Linked DNA regions of Oreochromis niloticus. The protein of the gene in region 2 purifies or fractionates together with the protein of the main gene of each other region. This does not show direct contact. Links are inferred from orthologs where the notes say so. Each region holds a gene or a part of one and is shown on either strand. Other genes may lie near its edges.

Region 1 (10,335 bases), on a different chromosome or scaffold from region 2:
CCCCCCGTGGGTGGTGGGCCCACAGGGGTGCACCAAGTCTTCTTTAGGCTACACCCAGCTGTGGCTCGAGGGTGAGATCCTGGTGACCTTGTCCTGGGTGGAGTACACTGCACCCTTGACAGGAGCTTTGTCTCACACCGAGGCTGAAACACAAACGTGTGCTTAGTGTCCAGCACTGTTAACTGAATCCTGCTTCATTAGAAACTCTGACGGAGCTTTCGCTTTTTCTAAACACTGAGGATGTTGAATCCAGGAACACGTCTGCATTATTATTTTTCACCTCCCTCCTCTTTCATTTTCCACCCTCAGCCAACGCTTTCATCTTGTACAAACTCCAGCACGCTGACCATCTGTAAATCCACTGATGCACGACGGACCTACAGCTAATTAACTCTTATGGCTGATTCGCATTTAAAAAAAAAAATAAGTACCATCTTATTTCTGCCTCCTCAGCATTTGGATGATAATTATCACCAGTGGCCTCACAAACCACAGACATATTATAGTTTATTATATGTCTTTACTGCTGGACTGTAAAAATTTTAATTTATTGGCCCGTTATTCTGTGGCTGGATGCAAGGTGAGCCTCTCCTCCTCATCAGGCAAACCGAACTGTGCCACATCCACCGACTTGAAACTGCAGTAAATGTATTTTAAAGACTACAGACTACAATGCACGCTCACTGACAGCTGCACACACACACACACACACACACACACACACACACACACACACACACACACAGATGCACACATGCCAGCTAATAACCTGCAGTGCTGGTGCAGCTCTGCTTACCTGATGATTTTGACCAGCTCGCTCATGTTGACGTGGTCCGGTACCAGGAACTTGGTCTTGTCCAAAACGGGCAGCTGTTTCTCTCCCTTATACCGTTCAATGATCACCTGCAGGCACAAAGCACACAGACGAGTGTCACTAAGACAAAGACTCTGCCCTACAAACATAGACTGTATACAAAAGATGCACACAGCCACCATGAAGTTTGTGGTTGGTTTAACTTCTGCTCTGTAGGCTTGATTTTAGCATTTTAGCTGATGCCATGTTCTTTAAAACTACAAGTGGCCATATTTGAACTGAACCTCAGACTTCTTGGATGATTTGTTGGAGCGATTACCCGCACAGCCATGAGTGTGAGCGTCTCGGACATTTTAACATGTTCTTTCTAATGGCCAGCAGAGGGCGACTCCCCTGTTTGCAAAAAGTCTGATTGTATAAAAGTCTATGAGGGAAAACATCCCTGAGCTTCCTCTCTCTGTGACCTCAGTAAACTGTCTCGGTGAGTTCGTGTGTCGCGCTTGCTAGCCTCAAGTCTGTCAAAATAAAACACGATGTTTTGTAAACAACAGTTGCACTTTGCTTCCAGACAGTTAAGATGGAAAACACTCTGCTTTGAAGTTTCTGAAATAGGACTCAACAACAGGTGAGATGATGTTAATGATGCCCATCTTTTATGTACAGTCTGTGGTTGAAACCTGATTTTCTGGCTTTTTTCCTGCTGTATGGAAATATAACAGCACACAAATGTGTAACTACACAGGGAGTCAGTGAGCTGTAAGACTTTGAGGTAATTATTTAAAGTCACATCTGAAATTTTAGCTCACAAAGACAAAATTAACAAAACTCTATGTTAGATTAAAACCTGTTCTGGGAAATATGATCTAGAGCTTTATATATAATCTCTGACTGGAAGACATTCTTAGTACAAGGTCAACTGTGGACCAAAGCATCACATCGATCCCTCTGAACTGGAGACTGGTTTGATTTGCTGCTTTCAGACACTCCAACCTCTGCTTCCTGCACTCTGGTAACCTCCGGTTCATCCCAGTGGAATCATCTTTATTCCCACTAACAAAGCTCAGTGAAGTGTGGTGTGATTAGGTGTGAAGCAGCTTACGGGGATCTTGTTGGGGTGCTGCTCACGGATCTGCTGGACCTCTTTGCACCGGTCAGCTGTGGACAAAAGACACAAATGGTCACAAAAACAGAAAGTTCATTTCTTGTTCGGTCGAAAGAGGAACCATCCTCGTTCTTATTTTGAAAGTCCAGCCAATGACAACCAGCTAACTCTGACTTCATGTCTGCTTCCCTACAGTGAGGCTGGACAGGTGGATGATGTCTCGAGTCCTGTAATCAGACAGACTCCAGCTCCACCCGCTGGTGACAGGAGCCATCCGTCACCTCTGTAGGGTCAGTTTAACCAGAACCTGCTTAATGTGCTGCTGCGCTGAGCTCACCAAGGATGCTGTGGCCATGATGGTGACTTCACCAGTGGGGCAGCTGGTTACCGCTCAGTATGAGCTTTTATGAAGGGCGATCGTGGCCGTTCGTCTTGTAATCGGAAGGTTGCCGGTTCGAGCCCCAGCTCCGACAGTCTTGGTCGTTGTGTCCTTGGGCAAGACGCTTCACCCGTTGCCTACTGGTGGTGGTCAGAGGGCCCGGTGGCGCCAGTGTCCGGCAGCCTCGCCTCTGTCAGTGCGCCCCAGGGCAGCTGTGGCTATTGTAACGTTTCATTTCTGGTGTGATGTGTGATTGCATACAGAGATCACGGAGCTGTTTAGTGCAGTGCAGAGATCCATTCACCCACACAGCTGCAACAATTAGTCAGTGAACTACACAGTCAACTGACTGAATGATCATTTTAGTCACTTTTCAGCTAAAGATTGGTTAAAGCTTCTTAAAAGTGATGAAAAAAAATGACATGATAGTAAACTAGGTGTAGTCAGAGAGGATCTGTTTAACGACGTGGCTAATTAACATCAGTCTCTTTGTGTATTTCCCCCTCTTCTTCCACACTAAGTCTTTTCTCTTTTCGAGGCAGAGCTCTGAAGTTTGCATCTCTTCACAGCTTTGCATATCATTATTATGTTAAACGTCTCCTTTAATCCTCCGCAGGCTTCCTTTCAGTACCCATTTAAGCTTTGCAATGTTTTTTTCTTTTTTCTTTTTACTGCCTCACTATCTAATTTTACAGCATGCTGCCCTCTCTGAACCTCCTACTGGCCTATTTCAGAAAAACTGCTTTTCCTTTTTCAAATACTGGTCGGGTTCAAAGCTCAGGTGGCTCAGAGCAGCAGCAGCTGAGTGTGAATGGCTCCTTTGTTTCAGTGTGGAGGTGTTTATTGGGAGCCAGCTACAGTCCTGCTCCAGGTTCTGCAAGAACACCTGTCTTCAGTTTGAATCTAAATATTCAGAAATATTCGTCCTCACTGGGCTCCTGGAGAGAGTCACACCTCCCACTTCTAAGATCAGGCTTCACATTTTCCTTTCTGATAAGCTTTATGAGGTTAGGGCTGGAGCAGGTGACCCTGAACCATCTGTCTGCTCGTCACAGCCTTGATTATACTTTTCACATCCACGAGGACACAAGTGAAAGAAATTTTGCTATCAGACGGTGATTGTTGATTTTTTTTGTGATCGTGAAGACTTGTCCACAGAGAATTTGCATTACAATGCACCAACTACCATGCACCCCAGGCAGCGGCACAACAGGAATGATTACTCAGCCGTTGTGCTTCCAGCCGTCTGTGTCGGCAACTGAATACAACCAAGGCTGAAGTCTGTCTTTATTAATCACGTCTTCTTCTTTCTTCGTCTACCATCAAATTTCAGGAAGAAGATGCTGAAACAATGATCCATCCTTTTTTTTATGGCTAGCAGAGGGCGACTAATCTGGTTGGAGATTTGAAGAGGTTCATGGGAAAACGGCCCCTCAGTAAACTCTTTCCTGTTGATAGGCTCAATCCAAACAAGATGGCGACGGGGCACACGCTCAGCTCAGGGCTTCATAACAGGATTTATGATGGTGCAGTCGCTACGCCCGTCTTCACTAATGTTTACACTGAAATCTTAGTCGTCCGAGAGCGACTTTTTAATGAAGCGTTTAAATATTTGCTGTGTGAGTCTTTTGAAAACATTGTTGTATCTGCTGCAATAAACAGACGACTGGCTGTTTTCTCTTCTGTGGTTTGTTTTGCCCTCCTTCAAAAGGTGGAGGCAGATGGCTGCTTGTCCCTGACAATGGCATCTTCCCATTAAATGGGTGTTCATTCTCCCCACCGTCGTCAAGTGCAGTTCACAGGAGATCATCTGATTGTTGGGGTTCTGGGGGTGTTTACCCTAACATGAACTGGTGCTATATGAATAAAAGTGAACTGGAAAGCGTATTATAGTAACTCCAAGTGTGGTAAACATGTCCCCTGTTGTGTAACTCGTCTGTAATGTGTGTCAGTGTGACACAATGCAAACAGCTGCTAAACAAACAGCACGCACAGGTCTACAAGAGCGGCTGAAAGCAGGTTATAAGCACAGAGCAGAAGGCGGTGAATGCAGCGTTTCTTGCATCTCTGCTGCTTCTCTGTAAATGGAAAGATTATGCAACGAGCCCGACTCCGGGCTCCTCCCTGCCCGGCTCTGGGGGGCTGTCTCTCGACCTCATATTTCAACATAAATCGCTGAACACGTGTATTGGGATAATGTGTCAGCACATGTTGTTTTTCCTTTCAGCAAACACAGATCAGTGAGATGATCCGGCCGTGTAAACGGAGGCCTAGCTGGCTGCGAGCTAGCCGGACAGTGACCCAGATGGCCCTTTAACACCTCTCGGCCCGGAGGATGCTGCCTCACACAGTAAAAACGGGATTTTCACCTTTGATTCGCCACTAAAAGAAATACTCTGTTAGCCTACCTACCCTGGCTCCCGGACACTTGTAGCAGTTACAGTAACCCAGCACCGACACCGTTTGTCTGCACTCTAAATACAAAGAGCTGAGCTAGGCGGCTAACGGGCTAGCAGCTCAGCGGCTGTTTGCAGGCACTTAAGCCAGGTAAATAACACCTTCCCCGGGGCTTTCTTACCAAATGTCCTCCTTTGTTTGAAGGGTCTGTCGGACGGCATCTCGGTCCCGGTTATTAATCTGTTATACACTAATGAATAACGCAATCGTTACAGCAAGCAGCGCAGGTCCGTCTCTTCGGTTCGAGTCTCTGGTTCGTCTGAAGCCAAAACAGCTCCGGACAAACAAAGACAGTAAACCGAGCCTCTGACGTCACCCGCTGCATTTAAAGGGGCCGTGCATCGATCCCTGAACCCAGAGAGCAGCTTTACATTCACGTTAACAGAAGTGCAAAGTTTAACCAGTTATACACCCAAGCCCGTGATTCACACGGTGATTCAGAGTTTAACAGACACAGCAGCGTCTTCATTTTGTACTGAGAGGAAATGATGAAAGGTTCGTGAATCAGCTGTAATGTCAGGCTGTGTTTTGCTTCAGCAGGGGCGTTCCTAGGTTTGTTTTAAATGAACTGGTACAAGGTGGGGGATGGGGTGTCCCAGTGAACTCTGATGGTTTTGTTTGTGTTCATAGACATTTTCTCTGTACTTTTCATCAGCTGTGTTGATTTTATCCATTTTTCTCCTTCTATGATCATTTTGTGTATCATCTTCCATGTTTTGATTATGAATATTTTGTGTTCATTTGCTGTTATTTTTGGATGTTTTTACTTTGTTTGTACTTTCTGCCTTTGTTGACTGTTTATAAAGACAGGAAGGCAAAACTGAGTGTTATTGGGAGAATTAACGAGATATGAGCTGTAGTGGAATGTAATACGAGTACTTTACTAAAGTTTTAATGTAAAACCCCAATTTAAAAAAAATTAAATTGAATAAAATGTAAATTTGAAATAACGAATGCAATCATTTGCAGATCTCATAAACTCATATTTTATTCGCCCATGGGAGATGGGCAATGAAAGGCTGGAAAAGTGAGCAGTGCTAAAAACACAGCTGGAGGAACATTTAGCATGTCTGTGATTCACTGGCAACAGATAAGTAATATGTTTGGGAATACAAATAAAAACTGTGGAACATTTTCAGAATGTTGTTTCTAATTTAAACACTGAATATCTCCTGATCTACAATAAATGATATCCCCGAATGATTCTGAGAATCTGGAGAAATCTTTTTGTGTAAGGAACAAGCCTCAGAACATTTTCTCAATTAAACCATCTGACATGTTTTCTATGTTCTATTGTACAGAAAAATGGGTTTATTAGATCTGCAAATGATTGCATTTTACAGTTTCCCAGATTTTCTGGAACTGAGGTCACGGTTGAAGTAAAAATATTTGTATTATGTTGCTTTTGACTTTTCTTCTGTTATATTTTAGACGCAAATATTTTACTTTGTACTGTGTACAGAACTCCCAGCAGTGTGTAAGAAACGAATCTTGCAGCTGAAGATGATTTTTAAGCGATGCACAAAAGAATGAAACGACCATGAAATGTGAAAATGATTGCTTTTAGCAGACGCATCAGCTGAAACCTACCAGCTGACTCTGCAGTTCTTCTCTGCAGTGATCTGTCAGAGACACTATGACTGAAACATGGCCCTCAGAGTCCTGAAATCAAATCTTTGGCAGAACTACAGCAGCAGACTTTTAACTTCCAGACGTTGAAAAAAAGCTTTTTTAAACTCTCGTTTTGAGGTGCATCAAAGCATTTTTAAACCAGATGTAATTACTGACTCTACACATGCAGTCATGTCCTGTTATTTTCAATAATGAGTCAAAATTAGTGTCCCTCCTACGTCGTAACCCTAACATCAAGCATCATTCAGCAGCTGCTTTTCTGCTGGGTTGTTTTTGGATGTTTTTCCTTGAGGTGACATGCTGACCTCTTTTTATCTCCTGAATGTGTAACCAAGCAACTGGATGATAGTTCAAGTAGTTTTATCTGCTTCCTCCTTTTTACCAGAACACTCAAGTTAAGCACTCTTAGCCGCTGATAGATGCATGAGTCTCTTATTAAACAAGAAAAAAACAAAAAACAACAACAACAACAAAAACCAGTAACAAGACAAAGACACGGGACCGTTTTCAATTTTTGTATTTCAGAATTGTTACAAATGAACAGAAACTTGACGCGAGAGCAGGGACGTGTTTGTAGTGTCGCTCTCTGCTCACAGGTGAAATACTGCTCCTTAACATTTTTAACCATCAAAACAATAAATAACAATCTGCAGTTTTCCTTTAAGGTGGGCCAAATAAAACAAAGCACGTCCTTTGTTCTGCCTCGTATACTGGACCTCTGCAGACCAGCGTGCTCTGCTCCAGTCATATGTCTGCGACTTCACTGCTCACTCGTGTTTCGGCGTGCACGTCTGGCTGCTTGCTACACATGAAATAAACAGTGACATGAGGTACGCGCACGCGCGCGCACACACACACACACACACACACACACACACACACACGCGCGCGCGCGCACACACACACACACACACACACACAGAGGAGTTGGAATGCTAAAACATGGGAAAAAAACAACCCAAAAAACCTCCTGCAGGCTGACTGACCGTCCTCGGGGTCACACATCTCCACCTTCACATCCTGACCTTACAACATTACTTCCCGTGAAAAAGCTTCTGCTAAACACAATTTTTGATTTAACGAGAAAAAGAAAATGGGCCGTTTAAATGAGAGTGATAAAGAGAGCGAACAGCCAGATGTCAGCTCCTTCATCTTCAATCTGATGGATTCTGGATGACGATGAGGAAAAAGTCTTTATCTGTGAAGAAAAAGGCAAAAAAAAAAAAAAAACAACTTCAGGAACGAAACCATCTTAAATGTTCATATCCAGCCGTTTTGGCCAGGAAATAATCCGAATAATGGGCATTTTAATATTTCCCATCAGATGCTCTCACCTGGAGCGATCATGATCTCGTTCTTCTTGGAGCGCACGCGCATGAAGGTGAGGTCGTTCTGGGGGTCGATGTCTCGGATGGTGCTCCTGGCCTTCATCACCAGCTGGTGGATCAGCCCGGCATACTGCACCGTGCTCGAGTTGTCCAGAGTCGACTTGATGGGGATTCCTGAAGGGAAAACACCCAGTAACCACATCACACCTTATTTTACTGGTTCTCTGCTGCTGAAACTGAAGCGTGACAGTAAAATAGATTTCAATTACTCAAAAAAAAAAAAAAAAAGTAATTAAAAATGGGACGAAGAAGGAAAATAGTTTTGTCTTCAGTAGCATTTTGTCCTGTCAGGTTACAGCTAAATTATTTAAATTCACAATTTGATGGGATTCCAGCTTTATTATGTACCAAGGAAAATGTAAGTGTGGTACATTAAAGGAACAGGGCTCAATGAAACCCAGCAGACCAAAACAAAAACATCAATAACAAATACATTTAACAGAGTGAAAAAAGCACATGTGAAAGTTTATATATGAAACAAGCATTCCTGATTTTTATGGAATTATCACAGCTTGAAGGATTGTTTTCCACGAATGACAGTTATGTTTTCTTTATAAACTAAATGTTGTTTAACTTGTTATTGATCAGGTAGTGAAACAATGATCAATATGTGGAAGATTTTTTTTGTATTTAATTAGAGAAAAGATTTAAGTCATTCGTAAACATGAGTGAATGCTGCTGTAGCACTAAGGATGCTTTGTTTCTTTCCTCACTTCTGTTTTCATGTGTTTGTATAAACTGATCACGAATCGCCTTCCTACACATGGCAGTGTGCGGCGTTTTAGCTTACAGCTGTGAGATTGCTCCTTTTTTATCTCTACAGCCTACATGTGTTTGCTCAGCACCACCCAGTCATGTGACAGCACAACAACAAAACACAATGAGGCAGAGAGGAGGAGGAAGAGGAGGAGCAGGAGGACTGTGTTTGTAAAGGGATGTCTACTTTTTGAGGAAACACACTGAAAGTAAAGCATCAAGTATCACGATCTGACACTGACACTGGTACCGATATTATCAATATTATGATCGATCCAGCCGGGTTTTCAGCGTTCCAGGGTCAGTCGGCTGTTTCAGGAGTAACAGGAGGGGAGGAGCCAGAGATAACACCTGCAGGGAGCAGGTTAGACAGGCTCACAGGGTCTGTTACCATGGTAAACGATTAGGGAAGGGTCACAGTGTCTGTTATCATGGTAACCGACTATCGGGAAAAATAAACCCTAAAATTTGCCTCAGTTTGAACAAACCCGGAGTTTATTAAACATGTGTTCTGGATCAGACCCCGGAGGACTTATAGCTGCAAAACACACAGTGGCAGTCATAATTAGAAACACGCAAAGAGCGGAAAGGTCTATAAAAGAGGAGGGAAAACGACATCATTGTCGTCTCACCCTCTGAATTGGCGACGATGATTCCCTGAACTCCTTTCTGGCCCTGAATCCTCTTCAGAGTTTCTTCTACTTCAGCCTGAGGGACGGAGACAACAGTGAGAACTCAGTCATTTCATGTGAGCTGATAAACGGATTTAAATCATTTAACACCGCAACAAACACAGAATTCAAATAATCTCCCAGTGAGCGCGTTTAAAGGTAACACAAAGGGGGAAAAGGTTACAAATAAAGCTGCAGTCGTCTGCTGAACTGACAACGCCCGACTAGCAAAAGCAAGCTAGCTTTAGTTAGCAATTTATTAAATTCCGTCCTGTGTAAATTACAGTGTGATGGCCAAATATGTAAACGGTTTCAATAGATACTTATCAAACTGTCCTCTTATCCTACCATTTTCGTTTTTTGTGTACAAATTCGTGCCAAAAAACCCTCTCAAAGCTCTGTAAACTAGCAGCCAGCACTCCGGTTTTGTTGACGGCAGGCGAAGAAGAAGAACCTCCGGGGCAACTGCTACGTTTACTGTCCAAACCGAAGAGTCGGACTTCTCATACATATGTTTCACCGGCTCTTTTATTCCTTTTCGCCTTGATAAATTCCAATTTTAAGTCCTGGTTTTTCTTTGTCATATAAAAATAACATTAAACAAGTGGGACGGTCTGCATCGTTACCATAAAAAAATCACACTGTTTAGTCACTTCGGTTAAAAACATAACATGGGATTTCAAAGATCCGGGGTTTCCCAGGTCAGATAAAGCCGTAAAGTCACGCGGTTCTCATGATATAGAACATCAATTCAAATCTTCTGTAAGCATAACTCTGGTTAAGAAATACAGACAAGATAAAGCCTCTAAATCAAAATCATAATATATCATAATACAATAAAACAACAGAATACCTGTGATAATAAACTAACGAAACTAAAACGCATTCACAGTGCAGAAATTGTCCCGCGTGAGTGACATGTTACTAATTTATTTCTAATTAATTAACTAATAGTTAACCGTACTGTAGTTCAGTGGTAAAAGAGGCGAAACATTGGTTATAGAATTGTACTGTACTCATATTTTTTTTCTCACTTATTTTCATTAATTTAATCTCAGAGCGTCAGATTCGGTAAAGTTTAAACAGCAGATGATTACGTTTAATAAATAAATAATAAACATTAATAATATAGCATA
Region 2 (10,480 bases):
CTGAGCTGGTCTGAAGCAGATTCTAACTGTTTTAATTAACAGAGATGGTCTGTCAGTTATCAGTCACCCCATTAGCTGACATCTTTTTGCAAGGATTAACAGCCTGAATAAAGACACTGGAAATAAAGACTTTTGCAAGGACAGGACATCCAGCAAAACCTCAGCAGTGAAGGTGGATGTTGGGGTGGATGGTCACAGCACCATCTGGTGGCTCAGACTAATAATACAGTACACTGTGAACAGACGTTAACAGCAGAGATCCCACGTCTTAAAAAACACTCTAGCTTAATGTTTGACTAATTATATCAGCTAGATCCTGCTTTTCCCTCTAATGTTAGTTATCAGCAAATATTATTATTATTATGCCTTCTTTTATTCTGTTTGAGGGAATTAATCATTTTAGCTGGCAGGGCTTTAATCGGAACAAAATGATTTGTCCCTCTGACACAGGCAATGAGTGTGTTTAAAATCAAATTTAAGATCTCAGAGACAATGTTTAAGATCTCTGCTGCTGATCTGCAGTTGCGTTTTACATATTATATCTCCATTAAAGGTACCTATTGTGTTTTTTCTCATTTTCTTTCAGATATGTACTGCTGCAGTGGCGGATGCTCGTGCCTAAACATGGCCAAAATTTCAAATGATGATGTTAGTCATGTGAAAGTAATCCCAATCAGCCAAAAGTTCAGGCTGATCTAAATACTCTGTCAGTTTTATTTTTAATCTTCACTCTGCATGATGACAGGATAGCTCTAATATGATCATCTCAGGTACACAGCTCTGGCTGTGACCACAGGAGCTGCACCCACCTTTGGTTCAAACCTTATGTTTGCCACTCATGCCACTCAGAAGAAAGCTGGCTGCTTAATACCTAACCTGATGTATCAGGGAATAGTTAAAGAGGACACCTTGTATGTAAATCAGCCACACCAATGTGGAGATGAGAACAGTCTATACATTCCTTTAGATTTTGAACTATAACGTCATAATGCATTAAATTAAACAGATTCCTTCAGAAGTAGTGTTTTAGTCAAAGCTATCTGACATTTTGAGCTTTATTAGGTAAGTGATTATCAGCCTAAAAATTGCACAAATTAAGATGTATGAGCTCCACTTTTATGCCATTCAAATAACAGTTCACATGGTTAGCTAGACAGTAACATCCCCATTAGTCAATTCTGGAGATCTATTGTGAAGCATGTTCAAAGCAAAGCATTGCCTGTTCATTTGGTTGCATTATGATGGTAAGCAGTCCCAGAACTCATGGCAGATACACTGGCAGAACCCATAGACCATGATCACGATGAGGCTGGCAGGAACCAGGCTCACCAGAAGCACCCCGAGTGTTGTCCTCTGCATTATGAGCAGGTAAACCCCCATAGGCAGGGAGCTAAAGTACAAGAGCCCCAGAACCCATACCAATGCCCGGGCTGAAGTCTGGCACAGGAGGGCTGCACAGTTCCACACCGTCCACCTCTCTGCGATGGATGCCATAGAGTCCAGACTGGATGAGTGGTAGTCCTGGTTTGACAGGTGAGAGCCATGTATCTGCTGGTAGGCATGGATGTCTTGGGTGGATATGGATGCTGGCGGAGGCTCCATGATAGTAATGACCACAAAATTAGGGGAGCTGCGGATGGTGGAGTAAGGGGTAGAGGAAGATGTGGAGGAGGAAGTAGATATCACAGGTGAATTGCTGCTCATCAGTGAGCTCAGGCGCATGGGGCTTAGGAGCAGTTCTGTAGTTGCCTCCTGGTGGAACTGACGGTTTCTCTGATTCCTGTTTTGGAGGGCCAGCTTTGCCACCAGGTTGGAATCATCCGACAGGTTGCTCACAGCTTCTCCCGGCAGTCTGGTGAGATAGCGACAAAACGGACACACCAAGGCATTGGGAGGCGACTCACCCAAGTCCAGGATCTTAATGAGACATTTGGAGCAGAGACGGTGGCAGCACTCAAGCACCTTAGGCCTTCGACTCCCCAGGTTGTAGGCGCAGTAGCAGATCTTACACTCCATCTCTTCAGTGCACAGCATGTCCACAAAGCCAGAACCTCCAACACCACCACCACTATCCTCGGGGTTTTGCATCTCTAGCATCATCCTGTGTTAAAACTTTATCCAACTCTAAGATCAAACGCAAAATCCAACCAAAAGCTCAAGTCCAAGCTCAGCACCAGCACTTTTCCCATAGATGGAGACACTGATGAAGGTCCTCTTCACTGAAGATCTAGGCTTCATTGCAGCTGTCTCCTAAAATGTGTGTGTGTGTCTGTGTTTCAATGTGAAGCGAGAAGAGAGACATGCGAGAAGGTGAAGCCCCTCGCAGGATTCGGCCTCTGGCGGTTGCTTGCCTCCAAGCAGTTGGGTTGACCGTGCTTCATTTGGAGTAAAAAGCCTTTCATGAGCTGCACAAAAAGGGGGGAGAAGGGTGAGAGACACTGAGAGAAAGACCTAAAGAGAGAGAGAGTGAGAGACAGAGAGAGGGAGGGAGACACATAACTGTTAACACAGCAAACAGAGGCGAAAGGACAACAAAGCAGAGCCTGTACAAACCAGAGCTGGAATTTTCGAGTCTGATCTTTTGTTGCTCCATGAAATTCAGCCCAATTAGTGACTGATGCACACACACACACACACACACACACACACACACACACACACACACACACACACACACATACACACACTACTGTATTCATGACTTCAGTGCACATTGCAGTGACTTACCTTCATTTCCTGAACACTTGCTGTAGACTTAACCACTAGTTGCCTACACACATCCCAACCTAATCCCAAATCATGTCCTCACCTTTAATAATTTACATAGCATGGATTAAATTTTTGCCTCTGTGAGGAAGACACACCCTCATAATGTGGCATTGTAAACACACAGCATAGATAAAACCCAGGTAACACACACAAACAGACAACAACTGCAGCTCCCTGTTAATGGTCTGCAAAAATAAGTGTGCATGAAAGGTTGAATGAGTTTCTATTTAAATAACTTTATCTGTGTTGTGCAGCACTTTGGTCAGCCATAGTGCTATATAAATAAACTATGGTATGGTATGGTGTGTGTGTTTGTGAGCATGGGTGTAAATATGCAAAATTATGTGCCCAAGTAAAAACACAAATGTGTTTTTTCATCCATCCCTACAGAAATGCCTGGTACTTCTCTAAACAGGTAGTCCAAGGAGCTTGGAAAGAAAAGTGTCTGGACTTCTTTAGGTTGCTTGAAGACGTTTCATCTCTCATCCAAGAAGCTTCTCAGATGAGAGGTGTCTAAGGAGCTTGGAAAGATCCGAGAAGCTTCTCGGATCTTTCCAAGCTCCTTAGACTACGATGACCTGGATGACTGGGAACCTTCACAGACTCTAAACAGGTAAATAACTTCTATCTTTATGAGTGTCACCATGTGTTTAATGACACTCCTGTCTCAGAAACAAAGATCCTGTGGAGGTGGGGGTGGATGATGGGTCCTGTTTCACATCTAGTAGATGACATGGTTTTATCTTTTTTAATCAATAAAGACACAAATCTTTCACAATCCTTTTAGCACTACCTAAATCTACACACATCTGTGACAAAAGCATTGGCTCAGATGTGTAATATGTAATACCATGCATAATGTTACGAAATGAGAACCTGTGTTTTCATTTAGTATTTCCTGTATTAGTGTCCAGTTATCAGGTTAGATGGGTGCAGATGGTTGTTTCAGCTATACGTTTTTGCATGAAATCTTATGGATTTGAAACAACAAAGAAAAGAGAAATGTCTTACCGTGAAAGACACCTATGATTTGAGACCAGGCCCGCTGATGCGAATATGTGTCACAATTGGTGAACTGGTGTGGACTGAAGGAGTGGACCCAGCAGTGGAAAGTGGAGCAGGTCATTGTTGGAGATCCCGGTTTGGCAGTGAGCTCTGATCTTGATTTACGGCCAGAACAGCACAGGCAGCAGAGCAAAATGGGTCAACGTCTCTTTGTAGATGTGAGCTTTCCTCGTTAAGATGGGCTCATTCTAACTCCATCGAGTGTGGTAGCCCAGCCTGCCATCTCTCACGCAGTGCCATTTAGCCGTTGTTCTGTTTGCCACTTTAATTATTAAACTAAGAAAACTAATGATAAGTGCCCATTAAAAGTCACAATCGCCTCACACAATAATTTCAAAGACTGCAACTAAACGGGTTTTGTGGTTTCTGGACTGGATTTACCCTGAAATGGCAAACTGGCACATGCAAAGGGAAAAGTTTGTCACAAAGATTACGGAAACTTTGATCTTGGTCATTATAATAAGTACAGTACTGTGCAAAAGTCTTGAGCCAATTCATGTATCAGGTCTTTGCTGGATTTTTTCCTGTTTTTTAAGGACATGACTTTGAGATACTCTTCATCTGCTGTAGATATTTATTTTTTAGACTTGGCATTTCTTTTTTGTGCTCCCCTGATCCATTCCTTTAAATTTTTTAATGACACACTGCACACCATGTTGAGAATCACTTTTCAGAAACACTTTTGTTGGTGCAATAATATAATGTTATGTCTGTCAAACTGTGTTATCTTTGGGATTTTCTGCAGAATCAGCTGAAGAAACAAATTATATGGTTCTGTAACAAGCTGATGATACAAAGCTTGGTGTCTGAAGGTACAACTTCATCCCCTGAGTGAGATGGATGTTTTTGTAAGTTCAGTTTGCAGTTTAGTTTGCAAAAAAAAAAGATGCATTTCTTTGAAATTGTCAGGCACAAGGATGATGGAAGGAATGAAAAAGGCTCCAATGTAAAAAACAAAACAACCTGGTCTGTAGCTTTTGACAGCTCTGAAGCGCTTGCAACATTTTGTACCTCAGTGTTAAAATATAATATGTTTTTTGTTTTGTTTTTTCTTTTACTTAAAGCTGCGTCCATCTCACCTCTGGGTCTACAGCAGCTTAGAATCTCAGCTAGCCAAACATGTTCGTTGATCTGTGGGAAGAAACTCAAACACAGGCTGTCCAGTAACAATAACATGAATCACTTGTAGTGACATTTGTCTTATTTCTGTACTGTTTTATTGCACAGTGTTTATTAAAGTTCATTTTAAAGCTGGACTAAGTGATTTTTACCACTAGTGGGCAGAAAAACAAGCATGACCCACCAAGCTGTTCAAGCTTATTTCTTAGAAACCAGGCATGTTTAAAGTTTGGGCATAAACAGATCTGTTCCCTCCCTTTAGATTCATAGTATGGGTCTCTGATGAATGCTGAAGTTAAATATTGACTTTCTCTTTCTCTTTCAGGATGGGTGGAGACCAGCATCAAGCAGCTATTCTTCAGTCTTTTAACTTTGTCTGCTGAGAAACATCTGATTCCATTGTACTTAAAGAAGTTAACGTAGGTGTAGTTACATATACAGTATATAGTAGTAATTCCGTCTTTTACACGCACAGGCAATATAATGATAACAATAAAGCACAAACAAAAGACGTTACACTCCAATAAATGTACACACACACTAACACACAAACACACACACCTGACGTCACCAACCTGAACCACAACAACACAAGAGGCAGGAATGGAAGTGTGCAGCTGATTTAAGTTGAGACAATTATACAGGAAGCATGATGATTTGGTCTTTCAAAATAAAGGGAGAAAAAAACACATGCCAAAAAGAAATGCAGATAATTTTAATGATTGCTTAATTACAGGTATAAGAATGTAGAACCTAGGTTTCCAAATATAAAGTTACCACCCTTTGGTTAAAATAAGAAAAATTAATACAAATGATAGAAAATTGTTGTACATTTCTTTCTTTTAATTTCACCCCTTCTGTGCACTGTTCAAGAGCAGGACTACCTTTACTCAAACACATCACTTAAGCACAATTTTGAGTTACTTGTATTTTCATTTATACTTCTTTAAAAAATAACTTTCATGCTACTTTTTAATTGGTAATCATATGTTTTGTTACAGCATTTGTTTCACTTGTGTATCTTTGCTCTGTGAATAATAATGTAAACTACATATTCGTGATATAAAAAGTAATTTAATAAGACTGTATGATTTAAACGCATTAGTTTTCATTGCAAAAAGAACATTTAGACTATTTTCAAAAAGTGAATGCTTTATGAGACACTTATTTTGAAACCTCAGAACCGGACATAGCTCAGTAAAGTCTCCGCTTTACTTCACTCCCATCTCTGCTGAAGGAGCGGAGGGGCAGAGCGGAGGGACCCCGGTCGTTTTTCAATGCTGGGGAGCTGGGAAGCAGGAACCGCCGGAGGTGGGCAGGTGGCCGCGGCCGGCGGACCGCCAAGCCGGGATCAGGAGACCCTTCCCGGCCGCGCAGGGTGTCGCCTCACCGGCCTGGTCAGCTGGAGGCGGAGACCATGCAGGACTTCAGCCCTGTTTGCTGCAGCCAACGCGATGTTCGGGTAGGCATCATGACGCAGGGATATCTCACAGCACTGAGCTCCTGTTAATCAAAGAAAAATTAATTATGACTTTAAGTTAAATTTTGAATATACTGTTAAAAAAAACATGACATCCTAGTAATTCCACATTAAAGGCGTAATTATTTCATCTTTAGTCCTTTCTTTCTATTATATCTTTAAATCCTTTGATGTTGTTACTTTTAAATTCATCTGTACTTCGCACACAAATAATAATAATAATAATGATGACGATCTTTAAAAAGGGGTTGTAAATACTCTGCTACAACTGTTTTCTGTATTTTTCTTATATTTTCGGTGTGTTTGACGTCAGTAATATCTGTATCAGGGACATTGTCAAAACAAACCGCTACCACCATGAACAAACAAAAAAAAAATCATAATAATTTGGGACTTCCTGAGATGAAATTCGTCCAGGTTTTGTTTGTTTGTCTTAAAAAACATTTAAAACCCCAAATAGTGTTCATTTAATTTTGTTTGTATAAGTTGTATTTTTATATATTCCGGTATTGCTATACTGCTGCAGTGCTTCTGCTTAATGCACTGAAAGAGGATAGATAGATAGATTGCTGTTATAAAGTGTTTCTTACACAGATCTGTTATAATTTTGCATCCTGATTTTTTGAGTAAGGGAAGCAGAAAAGCACAAAATTGTGCCACAGGGTCATAATAGCCAAAGAATATGAGAATATTTTAGCTCCACAATAGATGGTGAGGTTTTTTTTTTAACATCCACTAATGTAAAATTATATATCCAAAAATGAAAATATAAAGCTTTATCATCTTGTATAAAACGCTGCAGTACAAAAATAAACATTGATCTGCTAAAACTTCCACAGAGTTAAACCGTGGAGAGCATCACAACAACCTGAGTGAGCTGCTGTGAGTCAAACTTTTGTTCTGTTTCCCTGCAGGTTTGTGGCCTTTGGCTCGTTTCGGGCCTACACCCTCCTAGCTGTCCTCCTGGCCCTGCTGGTCATCACGGTCACCACCCGAGATGTAATTCGGTCCAGATCCGCAGGTAACCCCCAAATGATCAGCCGATTAAAGAGAAGAATAACTAGTAAGGAACTGCCTTGCCTTAATCTCATAACTCTGGATCTTCAGTTATAACTTCCCCAAAACACATTTAAATACAAATACTGACACCGATCAAAGACCAACTGATACTAAAGTGTTTGTCAAAGTGCACAAGGTGTGTAAAGGTACTTTAAAAAGTTGCTTGAAATCAGTTTAAAAACTTTTAAGTGATGACTTTGTGTCCCAGGAGTCTGTGTATTATGTGACAGAGACATCAAGTGATGCTGAAATAGGGCCAGGCTGCACTCTTGTGTAATATCACTGTGAACCAAAAGCTGGTGCAGGGCGTCAGCGTCGCATCCAGAGTTTGAGAAAATGGACAGATTATTGTCAGGACCACTTTTGCTGCAGATGTAGTAATAGCATAATAATGTATGCGGGGCCTTTGTGGGAGTAACCAACCCCTGATAATTAAAAAGAAGACAGACACTGAGATTAGAAGATGTAAAAAAATAAAAATACCCTAATTATAGAAAATAATGAATGATCTATTACAACCAAGACTGTAAAGGTGGAACCCAAGTACAGGGCAAAACCAAATAATTTTTACTAATCAGAGATCTTAATAGTGTGTAAAGGAGGTTGAAGCTGGTTTTAGTGGGATAAGAGTGTAAGAAGCTGAGGTAGTCAGAGGGAGAAGCAGACTGACGGGCAGCTGGGTGATGTTCCTGAAGAAGAAAAAATGGAGAAAGCTTTGTGATAAGAAATATTAGAACAGATTTGCTACAATTAAGTTCTAATTTGGTGTTATTACTGAGGTAGAAACTGCATTGTGGCGAGGAATGGTTGGAGAAAACGTTAACACGGTGGAGATGATGGAAAGCAGATGAACAGGTTGGGTGAGGCTGATTGTTGGCAGGTGTGCAGGATGAGCAGAGCTGGGAGCCAGGTATAAGGGAGACCTCGCCCACACCCATCCACAACAAAAACACAGACAGACAGACAAACAAGGGGGGAGGGCACCAAACAAACACAAGACAGAGAAAAAAGGAAGCACCAGGGAGTGTTTAAGGGGAGGATTGTGATGTGGCTGTAGCACAAACCTATAAACTAACAGGACTGTTGACAAGAATATAAAACATTTGCAAAAAGACGCATCGAATGAATGAGGAGCTCTGATTTTCTTTTAAAGCTGTCAGAGAATGGAGGAAGCTTCCTGAACACCTGAAAACTAGCATACATTTCTACTCTTTTTCCCCCTGATGTTATAGAGAGGCTTTTATATATTATTTAGATGTATTTGATATTTATGAGAGAGGGTGATGGATATATGGGATGTGGATACTGTCTGTGGTTTTGAAATAACTGGTAAATGTTTGGTCTATTATGTTGAATTGTCAACAGCATTTTTATTACTATAATTTATTTATTGACGATGTCTTTTTATATATTTCTATTGCAGGGACTGCGGATAAAAAATAGCTAACAGCTAAATCTGATACAGTGGATCTTTTTTATTAGTAGATTAATGTTTTTTTCCATCCCTGACAAATAAAGAGGAAAATTAAAATGAAATAAATAAGCCATTCAGGTTAAACCCAAGATGTTCCCTCACCAGAGTTATAAATGGCTGCTTTGAAACCAACCAAATCTATTTGGTTCGGATGTTTACGTGATTGCAGCTTCATCCTGGCTCATTAGCCCGATGAGTAAGGATGAGACATCATCTTTCATGGCGGATAGTGACTCATCAGCCTGACTGTTGCTCACAATTACACTTTAAACACATTGGACTCCTGATGTCAGCAGTTATTTAAGTTTAATGTTATCAGTATAGTTTTCTCTTTGTAGAAAACTTTCATTATCATTACCTAACACTTCTATTAAAGAAATCTGTTTTTGCATACTTCACGTCATTAAGTATAATTTCATAGCATCACAGTAATCATTAGCACTATATCAACACGCAATAAAAGCATTATATCCCATTAACCTGTGGTTGGAAACATGAAAAGGGACTTTGTTAAGCATTTATTTCATCTACAAATTATGTTTCTTTTAACATTATTTTATTACATGGTTGTTATATTACATTAGTGCCCAATCATAGCTTGTGGTAACTACATTACAGTTTGCTCCAGCCATTTTTTCATTGTTTCCATCCATTCATTTTCTACCACCTATCCGGGTTTAGGGGATATTCTTACTGTCACCACCAACAGCTCGATAGGTGAGGGCAGGAATGTAGATCATCCAATAAATCAATAGCTAAGCCTTCAGGCTCAGCTCTCTCTTTGCCACAGTTCACCGGGACATCACCATCCGTCTGCCAGCTGCCTGCTTTTTATTGGTACTGATGTTAGTAAACTGCTACAGCTGACAGATATCAAGAAAATAACTAAAATGTAACAAAGAAACTTTTTTACTGTTTCTGTAGTGGGTGTGAGCGCGTGAGTGCTGATGAATAACACATCTGGGTTTTTTTTTCACAGGAGCTCAGTTATGGCACAGCATGACAACAAGGTAAGACATTTAAGTGCAGGTGATTGTGATGTGCAGGTTTGTTAATGTTGTTTGTTTGGTGAAAATTACAATGGGAGTGTTTGGATTTTAAAACATATCAGAGACGCAGGGCTACTCTGAAGGAAGAAATCTTCATATTGGTGAAGATGCTAATGCGGTATTCATTGTTTCCTGAACCTGAAGGCATCCATAGGACAGTGAAGTCAATTTAAACAACGAAATTAAGAACAAACATATCTGCATCAAGCTTCTGCTCAGATCTGATCTTAGATGCTGATTTAAACGATGTCTGACACAACTTGTTTTTCACAAACTGAAAGGTGAAGAGGATCCTGGCTGAAAAACAAAAAGTTGGTCAGCTTAAATTGTTGATATCACATGAAGGAAAGTTTAATTGGATGTTTGTGACTCCTGAAATCAAGTTGATGTAATCAGCTTCAGTAATCAGATGTCTCACTCTGTTGTTCAACTGCAGAAAGAATCGACTCGCAGCAGTGTGGTGCC

The links. The genes of interacting proteins can lie anywhere in the genome.
Region 1: the proteins of retreg1 (region 2) and map1lc3a purify together in Homo sapiens (affinity purification with western blotting; 3 studies listed by BioGRID and IntAct, with this or other methods). This does not show direct contact. The link is inferred for Oreochromis niloticus from reciprocal best matches to the Homo sapiens genes RETREG1 and MAP1LC3A.

What each region holds. Positions count from the first base shown.
Region 1 is NC_031970.2:3,291,317-3,301,651, forward strand, and holds the start of map1lc3a (microtubule-associated protein 1 light chain 3 alpha), read right to left. Parts: upstream 5,054-10,335; 5' UTR 4,914-5,053; coding exon 4,874-4,913; intron 4,808-4,873; exon of another isoform or gene 3,629-4,807; intron 1,970-3,628; coding exon 1,914-1,969; intron 1,440-1,913; exon of another isoform or gene 1,383-1,439; intron 904-1,382; coding exon 797-903; intron 1-796. Other genes in the region: dynlrb1 (dynein light chain roadblock-type 1), read right to left, coding at 7,539-7,582, 7,719-7,886, 9,161-9,236, 9,548-9,550. UniProt on the Homo sapiens protein: Ubiquitin-like modifier involved in formation of autophagosomal vacuoles (autophagosomes). While LC3s are involved in elongation of the phagophore membrane, the GABARAP/GATE-16 subfamily is essential for a later stage in autophagosome maturation.
Region 2 is NC_031982.2:31,490,678-31,501,157, reverse strand, and holds the start of retreg1 (reticulophagy regulator 1), read left to right. Parts: upstream 1-6,163; 5' UTR 6,164-6,230; coding exon 6,231-6,415; intron 6,416-7,347; coding exon 7,348-7,496; intron 7,497-9,945; coding exon 9,946-9,976; intron 9,977-10,480. Other genes in the region: E3 ubiquitin-protein ligase RNF182, read right to left, coding at 1,237-2,100. UniProt on the Homo sapiens protein: Endoplasmic reticulum (ER)-anchored autophagy regulator which mediates ER delivery into lysosomes through sequestration into autophagosomes.